Canis lupus familiaris: one gene and its partner. The protein of the gene in region 2 purifies or fractionates together with the protein of the main gene of each other region. This does not show direct contact. Links are inferred from orthologs where the notes say so. Each region holds a gene or a part of one and is shown on either strand. Other genes may lie near its edges.

Region 1 (5,592 bases), on a different chromosome or scaffold from region 2:
CTCTGCCTCTCTCTCTCTGTCTCTCATTAATAAATATAATCTTTAAAAAATAAATAAATAAAAGCTATTTTCCTACACATGCAATTTTTATTTTAAAAATTTTATTTGGCAGAAAGAGAGTGCGCATGCGCACACATACACAAGCAGGGGGAGCGGCAGGCAGAGAGAAAGAGCAAGAAGCCTGACATGGGGCTCGACCCCAGAGTCCTGGGATTATGACCTGAGCCAGAGGCAGATGCCCAACTCACTGAGCCACCCAGGTGCCCCCACACAATGTTTTAAAGTGTAATATTTACAAATGTATTCTTATAGCCTTGGTACATAAATGTCTGAGGTGTAACGCTGATTCTTTGTACCACAAAACTATTTACTAGAACTCATCTCGTCTTGTTTAAAACAGGCTTTCTGGATAATATTAAAATGCACACTACCTTAAAAAAAGTCATGAACCCAGAATAGAAGCACATCTAGTTTTAATAGCTGGCAGAGTATACTTGTAGAAGGAAATTTAAGGCTACACAGTGAGTGGTCAAGATAAGAAGTAGAGACCACAAAGTGCTCTCTTATAGTTTTCTCACTACAGAAACACACTACACCTCTCCTGCTATTAAGTACTCGTGAAATTTAAAATTAAAATGGCAAAGAAAGCAGCTCTGCCTTCTCTAAAGCGCGCAGGGTAGAAAACCAAAGGCTGTCAAATGAAAACAAATCTACGTCACCACAAAGCTACTTCTTAAAAAATTTCCGGGCAGCCTGGGTGGCTCAGCAGTTTAGCGCCGCCTTCAGCCCAGGGTGTTATCCTGGAGACCCGTGATCGAGTCCTGCGTTGGGCTCCCTGCACAGAGTCTGCTTCTCCCTCTGCCTGTGTCTCTCATGAATAAGTAAGTAAAATCTTTAAAATTCTTCACTGCCCATTGATAAGGGTCTCGGAAGGGGTAACGACAAATCCCCACCTGCTGTCTGGGAAGGCAACTACTTGCTAAACCAGGAGTGATCATGCAAAGTAAGCCAAGACCGGATGACAGTGACTTCCTCTGAGCAACCTGCTCTTGCCCCTTGTAAAACCTCTCAGTGGAGGACTGGCGAAGCTATGTAATCACCAACCTTTCGCTGTGGATGCCTGAACACATTTCCCAGTTCAAGTAAGCATGTCTTAGGTAGCAATTCCAGACCGAACTCCCCATAAGCTCCTCACTGCTGCCTCATCATTCACCCCAGGGGCCATCACTCCCAGCACTACTCCCAGCACTACAGGGTTCTGCCCATTTCACAGAGCTGACAGGGGGAGGCCTTCAGGAATGTGATCACCCTCCCACCCACAGACACTATATATTACTGTTGCAAAACAAACCAAACAAATTTAAGTTCTCTGGCAAAATTCTTGGCAATACAACCTAAGTTCATGAAAAACAGTTTCAAAACGTTTTACAACTGTGGACAATGAAAATTAAAAAAAAAAAAAAAAAAAACCAAAAACCTAAAAGTAAGTATTCTGAACTCTATTGTACCATTTATACGTTCACCTCTGTAGTCCCCTCTTCCTGAAACTAAAAGACTATCAACTGCTCAAGAGGAGAAAAATGCTGAAGACTTCCGTCCCACTGAGGCTGGTGGGAACTGCAGATGCAGGAAGCTGCTCCCAGCACCAGGGGCCGCTGAGACCCCGACAGGCGAGCGGAAACACCATCCTGAGAGACTCAAGTACAAAATCACACACTGTAATGACACACACACCCCGACTCCATGGACTTCACCTCTGCAGAATCATGAGCTACCTCACACAGGTACGCTCAAAAATACCACAGGAGACTCTGGTCCTCTAAACGGCCAATCCTCGAAATTCAAAAACGCCTGTATACTCGGAGGACAACAATCCCAAAGCAAAAGTAAACTTTCCAGAGTTCAGTCTACCGGCGTCATCAAAACAAAAACGACTCCATCAGCTCTTGCAAAGAATCCAATCTCTCCAATCGCTATACCTGTTTGGAAAAATAATGCGAAATTCACGAATGCGTTTAATGTTTCACCGCACGGACGTACAAACAACCGCAGGTAGCGTCGACCACGATCACCGGCACAGCAGGACAAAGGCTACAATACAAGCGCGTGGGTCAGAGCAGGTATTTCACACAGCGGGATGCTGTGGTAACTAACTACCGGTTTACACAACTAAGGAATCTGAGAACGATTACTCTCATCATACCAGAAGGAGTCTTAAGATCACTGCTGAAACGACTCCAAGTAATCTTCCCACTTTATCGCACAAGTCCCTTCTGTCACCGTAACCCTACAAGAAATCCAATTTTGCCAACAAAGTATTTCTCTTGACCAGAAGGGTCTTCTCCTCCACGGAGCGTCTGAAACCCCGCACTAGGATCCTTGACCTCAAAAGATGAAAGAAAAAAAAAAAAATGTCCTTATCCAGAAACAAGGGAAAAAGCAGCAAATGGAAACCCTCCAGGCGCCAGGGCTCCTTCTCCTCGGCGGCCTCCCTCGCGCACACCGGGGGCCCGGCCAGCCCAGACCAAGGCCCGCTCCGCTGTGCGAGCGCCGAGCGGCCGCTAAGGGCCCCCGCGTCCGAGCTGGCGGGGACCCCTCCCCGGGGCCCGAGCCGGGCTCCCACGACCGCGTCCCCGCCCCGCGGCCCCCAGGCGCCGGGCCGGGCCGGGCCGGGCCGGGCGGGAGCAGCGAGCACGTGCGCACGGCGAGCCGCGTCCCCGCGCCGGGTCAGCGCCCGGGGTCCCCCGCCCCGCGCGCTCCGCAGAGGCGGCCCGGGCGGACGGCGGCTCCGCGGCCCGGCAAGGCGCGCCGCCCTGGACGCCGCGGGCCCGAGCTCAGGCCGCGCACGGACCGTGCCGAGCCCTCCCGGCCCCGAAGGGCGGCTTCCCCGCGCCCCGAAAACAAAGGGGCCCCGCGGCCGGCGCTGCCCTCGGGGCCGCGGCGGGGGCGGGGGCGCGGGCGGCCGCCCGGGAACAAAGCGCCTCCTGACCTTCAGCGCCGCAGCGGGGCGGGGGTCAGCCGCGCCGCCCGCTCCCCCCGCCGCCCCGGGCCCGCCGCCCCGCCGCCCCGCCCCTGCCGCCGCGGCCTGCCCCCCCCGCCGCCCCGGGCCCGCCCCCGCCCCCGCCGCCCCGGCCCTCGGCGGCCGCGGCCCCTCGCCGGCAGCCCCAGCGCGCCATTACCCAGCCGAGCGCCTCGCGTCCGCTCCTCACGCCTCCTGCGGCTGCGGCAGTGGCGGCGGCGGTGGCCTCGCTCGCTCCAGGGGCTGCGCCGCCGTGGCCGCCAACAACACCGCCTCCCATTGGCCGAGCCCCCTGGCCCCGCCCTGCACAAGCAAGACGGCCTGCGATTGGGCGGACTCGGCGCAAGTCAACTACGCTTCGGCGCCGCCGGCGACGGCCCATCAGAGGCCGCGACAGGAGGGGTGGGGCGTCGCGCTGCGTCGCGCTCAGACCCGCGAGCTGTATGTAAATAAGGCGTGTGACGTGTACGGCGGCGCGCGCCCGCGTTCCTTCCGCCTCCTTAAGGGGCCGGGGCGCGCGGGGGACACGTGGACGGCACCTGCCGCGCCCGCCGTGCGGCTCCAGCTGCGCGCCCGCCCCGCAGACCCCCGCGGCCCCACCGTCCACGCCGCCGCCCCCCGGGCCGCCCGGCCTCAGCGCCCGCCGCCCCTCTCCCCGCGCGCGCCCCCCCAGCGCCGTCCGCGTCTGTACAGGAGCACCGGGGCCGGGCCGCACCTCTGCGCAGTCGGGCGCCCTCGACACCGGGGCCCCCGGCTGGGCCGCCTCCCCGCGCTGCTGGGCGGCCGCTGGGCCCAGGGCACCGCGTTCCCCCGGTCACTGGGAAGGCCGGCGGCGAGGGGGACCCGCCAGGCGCGGAGAGCGCAGCAGAAATCACGGCCTTGTGGTCGGCTTGTGGTCGGCGGCCTCCCAGCCCGCTGCCGCCTGGTCTCGGGGCTGCCCCCCCCCGCCCCCGGGGACGGCCCTTCCTCGCCCCGTCCAGCTGCAGCCCCTCCCGCTCGCCCCCAGACCCGTCTCCATCTGCACACGGCCTGCCCATGCCACCAGGTTAGGGCGGCTGCAGGGGCCTCATGTTAACTCCACGACAGCTGCGCAGGTACGGGGGGCTGGGGCTGAGTCTCTTGGGGCTGGCACCCGCCCCTGTGCACACTCAGTCATCCTGGCCAGCAGGCTGGGCAGGGGACCCAGAAGTAAAAGGGCAGGTTCCTGGCCCAGAGCCCCGACCTTCCCAATTCTAGCTGGGTGGCCTCGACAGCCTGTGCTGCAGTTTCTCCACCTTCAGTCATGGGCACTTGTCATACCCCCTTCACAGGGCTGGTGGGGAGTTGGAACAACACTGGCCAGTAGCTTGGTGCTGGTGTCCACTGCTCTGATGCCCCCACCCCGGGGCTAGAGGAGGGGACTGAGTACCTGAGGCTACCTGAGGCTCTCCTAAGGAGACTGTCCTATGAGTGGCTTAGCCTGAATCCTGCTCCAGAGGACATCTGGGCCCTGCAGGCCGTGGTGTTCAGAGTGACCGGGAGCAGCCACCCCCTGAGGGGCCAGAGACCTAGCTCCTGGGCCCAGTGGTGGTCCAGACACTGCGTGGAGACAGCAGGCCAGGCGTGGGCACCATGACTATATTTTGTCCCGTTATAGCCATAAATGTATTTACTAAGATGACGTGTTAAGTCACAGCAAATGTATTTTTTTGTTGAAGAGAACTAAGGTACGAGAATGAATGTCTCCTGTGGTTTGTGGGGCAGCCACTACAAAGTACCCTGAACTGGTGGCTTAATCACAGGAAAGTTCTTTCTCCCAGCTTTGGACAGTAGAAGTCTGAAACCCAGGTGCGGGCAGGGCCGTGCTCCCTCCAGAGGCTCTAGGGTGTGGATCCCTCCTGCCACTTCCAGGTCCTGGGGGCTCTGAGTGTCTCTGGGCTGGTGGCCAGGTCCCTCCTGTCTCTGCCTGTCCTGCATGGCCTCTTGTGTCTGTGTCTCTCCTTATAGACATCAGCCGGGTGGTGCTTCTGGCCCACTCCTGTGCGAACACATCGTGACCTAAGCACACCTGCAAAGACCCTACTTCCAAATATGGTGGGTTGTGGAGTTCTGGCTAGACAAGAATTGCGGGGGGGGGGGGGGGGGATACTATTCAACTTAGTACAATGTCTGTTCTGGAACCAGCATTCCCCTGTGCCCACTGTCTACCTGTCAGGAAGTGGTCCCTGTGGGATGGTCTCCCTCTGCTTCCAAGGGGGGGGCAGCTGCTCCTGGCCTGGAGTTTCTGGAGCCTCCACTCCATGTCAGGGCTGAGGGACTGAGTCCTGCCATTGCCCAGCTCCACGCAGGGCTCTCCCCTCCCCTTCCAGTCCCCAGGGACCTGGGGTGGGACACCCAGTCCCACTGCCTGCCGTGGAACAGTGGGCTCCCTCTCTCACCACATAGGCTTTACACACTGGCTCCCAGCACCTGCGACTCTGTGTCTGAAGGTACCACCCTGCCTGGACCATAAGCTTTGAGGATCCACCAAGAGGCTTCCCAAGAGCCCCACATGAAGGTGTGTTCCATGTCACACCCATGCCCAGAAGGGAGGG
Region 2 (5,674 bases):
TGATTGTTATAATCTCTAGACATTTTTTCACGACTTTTCTTGACCTCTTGATAGCATTCAACACTATTGACCCCTTCTTCCTTTTGAAACATTCTTTCCCCCTGGTTTTATGACACTACTTTCTCCTGCTTTTCTTCCTATTTCTTTGGTCACTACATATCCATCCATGAGACATGGGGTCCTTGTCCTCCACCTATGCCATGGTCACTGTTTGTCTCCAGGGCTCTATCCTAGGCTTCATCTCTTCTAAGGCTGCACATTCTTCTCAGGTGCTATTTTCCTTTCCATAGATTAAAGAACCATTTATATATTGATGACTTCTAGATCTGTTATCTCAGTCCAGACATTTTTCGTGAGCTTCAGATGTGTATATTCAACTACCTATGGAATATTTCTTCTTGGATGTCCCACAGGTATCTCAATATCACTGTCCAGTTCCCCTCTATTAGTGTTCCCTATCTCAGTGAAATAAGTTACCACTGACACATTTGATCTCTCAAATCAGATCCCCAATAGTTCCCTTTGATACTTCCCTCTTCCTTACCTCTTTCCTCGCACCCAATTATTCATAAAGTCTTGCCCCTTTTTACTTCTTTAATATATTCTGAAGTCAATCATTTCTCACTACCTCCATTGCTACCACTCTAGGCCAAACACAATCATTGCTTACTTAGATAACTAAGTTATCTCTTTCCAGGTAGACATCTAATCTATACTTCTTATTGATTAGGCAGCTAGGGTGTTCTATCTAAAACTCAAATCTGTATTGTATCAAAGCCTAAACCCCTTCAAAAACCTCTCAGTGCTCTCAAGATCAAGACCAAAGTCCTTACCTTGGCCTTCAAGGCTAGCTATGATTTGGAAGCAATGGGAATTTGGGTACTAGAACTGGAAGGCAAGGAGGAGCGGTGTCTAGTGTGAAATAAAGCCTTTGTGGATGGGGGAGAGAATCTAGGAGACAAGAAATTAGGAAACTGATAAAAACTTGGAGGAAGCAACAATTGAGAGAAAGAGAGGAATCAGGAGAACAGAGGCCCATCTTGTGTGGGAAGTGTGTGTGTGTGTGTGTGTGTGTGTGTGTGTGTAAAAGAGAGAGAGAGAGAATTATCCATAGAATGTAGGGATTGATATTTTATTATAGTAAAGGAAAAGGTGACCTCATAAAGCACTAGACTTATGACCATTTGAATTACTTTTGAGTGTAAGAAAGGTATTGAATATTATTTCTGTAACTGACCACTACGCTGAATTTTATTATGGTTTCTAATAACTTTTTAGTTGATGCTTTGGGGTTCTCCAGGTCTGCATTCATATACTCAGTAACTAATGATAATTCTGTCTACTTTCCATTATTTATACATCTTATTTTGTTCTCTTGAATAGACCCAATTACTTATGTAAATTTATTATGTGATAAAAGTGTCATGTCAAATCAATGGGAAAAAAGATGGATTAATTTGCAAATGGTGTAAGGATAAGAGACAGTGATTTTGGAAAATAATTAAGCTGAGTCCTTTTACAAAACAGATTTTGGAATAATCAAATACTTAAATGTAAATATCAAAGCCATAAAAGTGCTTGGGAAAAAACAGGGATTGTTATAGGAGTGTGGAAAGCATCTTTAAGCATGAAGCAGAATCCAGTCGTGATAAAGGAACACCTGATACATTTCATCATATAACAATTAAATCCTTTTGTATAGCAAAGGTTATCATGAATAACATGAAAAATATTTGTTATATTTGTAACACAAGCATATGAGAGACATTGTTGGTGGGAACATTATTCCCATGTACCTTTTGAGAGTAAGTTGACAAATTTCTTATCAAATGGAAGACTTTTTGTAGCATTTTAGTCAGCAAAAAGTACTGCAAATAAAAAAAGCTCAATACAGATATACAGATGCAGAATATTCCTTGTAGCATTGCTTGTAATAGGAGAGAGAGAGAGAGAGAGAGAGAGAGAGAGAGAAACAATCTGAATGTCCATAGCCATGTATCCTGGACTGGTTAAATAAATTATGGGCCATCTATACAAGATAATAATATGAAGTTGTTAAGAAAAATGTGCACTATAGAAAGCTGTTTAGAATATATAACTGGAAAAAAAACAGGTCATGGAACAGTAGGTGTAGGATACCATTTGTGGGGAGAAACCCCAAATAATTAGTAATGAATAGGAAAAAAATCTGGAGGACTGTATATAAAAATGTTAATAGTGGTTATTTCTGGGAAATGAGATAAGGGTGGCCTTTCATTGGTATGTTACACATTTCTGCATTATTTGAATTTTCACATGATTATCTTTGTAATAAGAAAAAATAAAGATACGAAAATAAATACATTCAGTGAATGAATCGCTTTGAGGCGGTGGTTTTAGTTCGAAGGTCTGCAGACTGAGCCTGGTACAGTGGCATAAACATGGGCTTTGGCGTCAGACAGCCCAGAGCTGGGCCCCTTGCCCCACCCCCAAGGAAGGAGGGGGGTGGCAGGGGGCTGCGGAAAGGGGCTGGGCTGGGCTGGCTGCAGCTCTAGTCCAGGAGGCTGAGACTTCGAGAGGGACTGAGAGAGGGCAGACTCATCCCGGACTTGCTGGAGGACAAGGTGAGGGGCGTTGAGATTTGGGTTTCCTGGCAGCCAGTGATTTCAGTTCCCTCGAACCTATAGCCAGGCAGGTGGGCAATCCATACTGCACCACTGCAGCTGAGGGAGAGATGACCTGGAGCAGGATGTAGGCAATCAGGACTCCTGAGGGTAGTAGGCGGTAAGGATTGGCGATCTGAGACTAGTGGGGAGGAGGGGAACCGGGTTTGTTGAGTGACCGACTGGGAGGAAGAGGGGAATACTGAGGGAAAGTGGAAATCCAGAGAAGAAAATAGGGAATGCAGAGAAGGGTTAAGGAGTACTAGGGAAGGGGGTGCAAAGGTAACACAGGATAGGATGTAAGGAATAGGAATAAGGAATTCTGTGGGGTAAAATAGGAAATGCGAGGGGTGATAGGGAGCAGGGAGCAAGGCAGAGGGAATACGGGGGTGATAAGGAATGAGGATCAGCGGGGGGCGGGGGGGAAGGGCAGACTGGCTGCGACAGAGGCCCCCCTAGGGAGGCGGAAAGGGGCGGGACCACTTCCGGCCTGGAGCAGGGAGGGCAGTCTAGGAGTTTTAGAGGGGCTTGGAGCGTGGACGCACTCTGGAACTTAAGGAGAAGGAGGTGAGCTGTGGGGCCCAGCCCGGCTCTGGATCACAGCCCAATAAGGATCGGCCCCACCCTCTCATATCTGGAGAAAACCTGCTGTAGGGACCGGATCGTACCGGATCCATCCGGATGGGAAGGGAGGGGACTGGACCCGGTTTGGCTGGGCCTAAAATGGAATCACTGGCTCCATTCTAGATTTGAGGAGGGGGTGTACTAAGGAAGGGGCGGAACCAAGATGCGCTTTGCCCCTGGTTGGAGGGGGCGTGTTGTGAAAAAGGGCGGGACAGGGCCATAGTGTGGACTTGGGGTGGGTGTGAGTAGGGGAGGGGCCGGGACCACCAAACTGCGACAATTTTAGAAGAAAGCTTGTTGGGGAGGGGGCGGGACCAAATGGTACTGCGGACCTGGAGAAGGGCTTGTGTTGAGAAAGGGCGGTGGACGGAGTCCGGACCATTGCGCATGCACACTCTGGATTGCTAGGAAGGGGCGTGTAGAGGAAAGCCAGCCTGGAGACGGGCTGCTGCCGAATGCGCATGTGCATGGTGGACTTCAAAGAAAGAGCTTGTGCTGGGAAAGCGGGCGGGGCTGAGGTGGGCCTCCGCAGCGAACGCGCATGCGCATTGTTGGTCTGCGGCTGGAGGGGGGGTGCACTGGGAAAAGGGGCGGGGTCCTCAGAGCTGCCGCGCTGGCACATCTTCCTGGAGAAGGGGAGGGTGCGGCTGCAGAGAATTGAGATCTAGAAGCTTTGGATTACTGAATCCGAGAACGGAGTCATTGGGGGCGGGGGCGGGGTTTGGGTTTGGGGCCCTAGGGAAAGTGAGGATCAGCTTCCAGGCAGAACAGGAGAGAGGACGTTCAGGCCCTTTGACACAGGCCTTCTCTCCTCAGGCTCAGCTCTTGCCAGGCCAACTTGAGACATGTCTGACACAAGCGAGAAAGGTACGGGTCCAACCCGCTTCCAGGTAAGGCCTCATTTTGTCCTCTCCCTTACTACTTTTCTTCTCCAGCGCGTTGCTGCCTCAGTTCCCTTGGTACCACCCCTCCCATCCTTGTCCTTTACCCACTTTCCTTCCTGGGTGCCCCCCCTCACCAGTAGAGGGAGTGAGGGAGGGAGGAAAGAAGGAAGAATGAAGGATGGAGGAAGGAAGTAGGGAGGGAGGGCAGGCCTGCCTTCTTCTGCCATCACTTCCTGCTCAGAGGAAGGAGAGGCCTTGTTGGGTCTAGGTGGGCAGAGCTCACTGTAAGTAGGAGTTAGTATAGGTCAGAGAAGTGAGGTCCTGGAATTTTGGAGCCATTTTCCTAGTTGGGAATGGGGAGAAGGTCTGTGAGCTTTCCTGCTTCCTCTTGCAGGCTGAAGCTTCAGAGGACAGTGGCTTGAAGATACAGACCCTATTGACAGTGACCCATAATTTGGAGGTCTCAGAGATACCGAAGACCTCAAAGGCACTAGAGACCTCAGAAGCCATGAAGGTCTCAAATGCTGCAGGAGTCTCAAAGGCCACAGAGGTCTCAAAGGCCCCAGAGGCTCAGGAGGTGGCTGCCACTCAGGCCTCCCCTACCACTAAGCTGACTGATACCCAGGTTCTGACAGTTGAAAAGAAGAGTCCAGCAGCTGACACCAAGATGCAGAGTGCTGACCCTCAGCCTGTGACAATGCCTGCCACTGAAACCAAAAAGGTCAGCTGTGTGGCTGATATAAAGGCTGGTACAAAGGCCCTGGAGACTGAGGCTCCTGCCTCTCAGGCTTTGGCAGATGAACCTAAGCCTGATGGTGCGGCTGCCCAGGCTCAGGAGAATCAGGATACTCGGCCCAAGGTCAAGGCCAAGAAAGCCAGAAAGGTAAGACGTCTATAAACACCAGTCTTCCCTTTCCACTTCTCTTCATTAGTCCATTTGTTCTGCAAACATTTAGAAAGTTCCCTGTGCTCATCAAGATTAAGGGGGACAATAAGAGGAATGTGATATCATTTCTCTCTGCAGAGAGTTCACAGAGTCATGGAGAACTGAGATAGTACACATACTTAGCTGCAATGTTAATGTAGTTTGTATTTACATAGGACCTACCATGTGTTAGACCTTGAGCTAGGCACATGCATACAGGTTATTTCATTAAATCCTGAAAGTAATCCAGTTTTATAGAGAAGGAAGCTGAGTCCTAGAAAGGTGGGGTGACTTGTGCAGGGTGGTACAAGAAGGGCCAGTGGTGGACATAGGAAGAGGAGAATTCTCAGGCCCCATCTCAGGTTGTTCCTAGCCTGGTAGAGAGATGAAACTTCTGCATTGAAGTCAGTGAAAAACAGTCCCAAGACTCAACATGGCCAATGTCTAATCAGGCTGTTACTCCAGGGGTGGGATTAGAGGGGCCTTCCAGAAGAGAGAGGATGAGGGAAAAGGAACATCTACTTTGTTTGACAATATTGTGCTTCCTCTCTGTTGCTGCAGGTGAAGCATCTGAATAGCGAAGAGGATGGCAATAGTGA

Evidence for each region. The genes of interacting proteins can lie anywhere in the genome.
Region 1: the proteins of MAGED2 (region 2) and NAP1L4 purify together in Homo sapiens (affinity purification with mass spectrometry; 3 studies listed by BioGRID and IntAct, counting the BioPlex papers as one, with this or other methods). This does not show direct contact. The link is inferred for Canis lupus familiaris from reciprocal best matches to the Homo sapiens genes MAGED2 and NAP1L4.

Annotation. Positions count from the first base shown.
Region 1 is NC_049239.1:47,403,520-47,409,111, forward strand, and holds the start of NAP1L4 (nucleosome assembly protein 1-like 4), read right to left. Parts: upstream 3,317-5,592; 5' UTR 3,180-3,316; intron 2,350-3,179; exon of another isoform or gene 2,204-2,349; intron 1-2,203. UniProt on the Homo sapiens protein: Acts as a histone chaperone in nucleosome assembly.
Region 2 is NW_023330544.1:39,716-45,389, reverse strand, and holds the start of MAGED2 (melanoma-associated antigen D2), read left to right. Parts: upstream 1-2,473; 5' UTR 2,474-2,603; intron 2,604-2,689; exon of another isoform or gene 2,690-2,784; intron 2,785-3,116; exon of another isoform or gene 3,117-3,209; intron 3,210-3,591; exon of another isoform or gene 3,592-4,082; 5' UTR 4,083-4,111; coding exon 4,112-4,156; intron 4,157-4,544; coding exon 4,545-5,033; intron 5,034-5,636; coding exon 5,637-5,674. UniProt on the Homo sapiens protein: Regulates the expression, localization to the plasma membrane and function of the sodium chloride cotransporters SLC12A1 and SLC12A3, two key components of salt reabsorption in the distal renal tubule.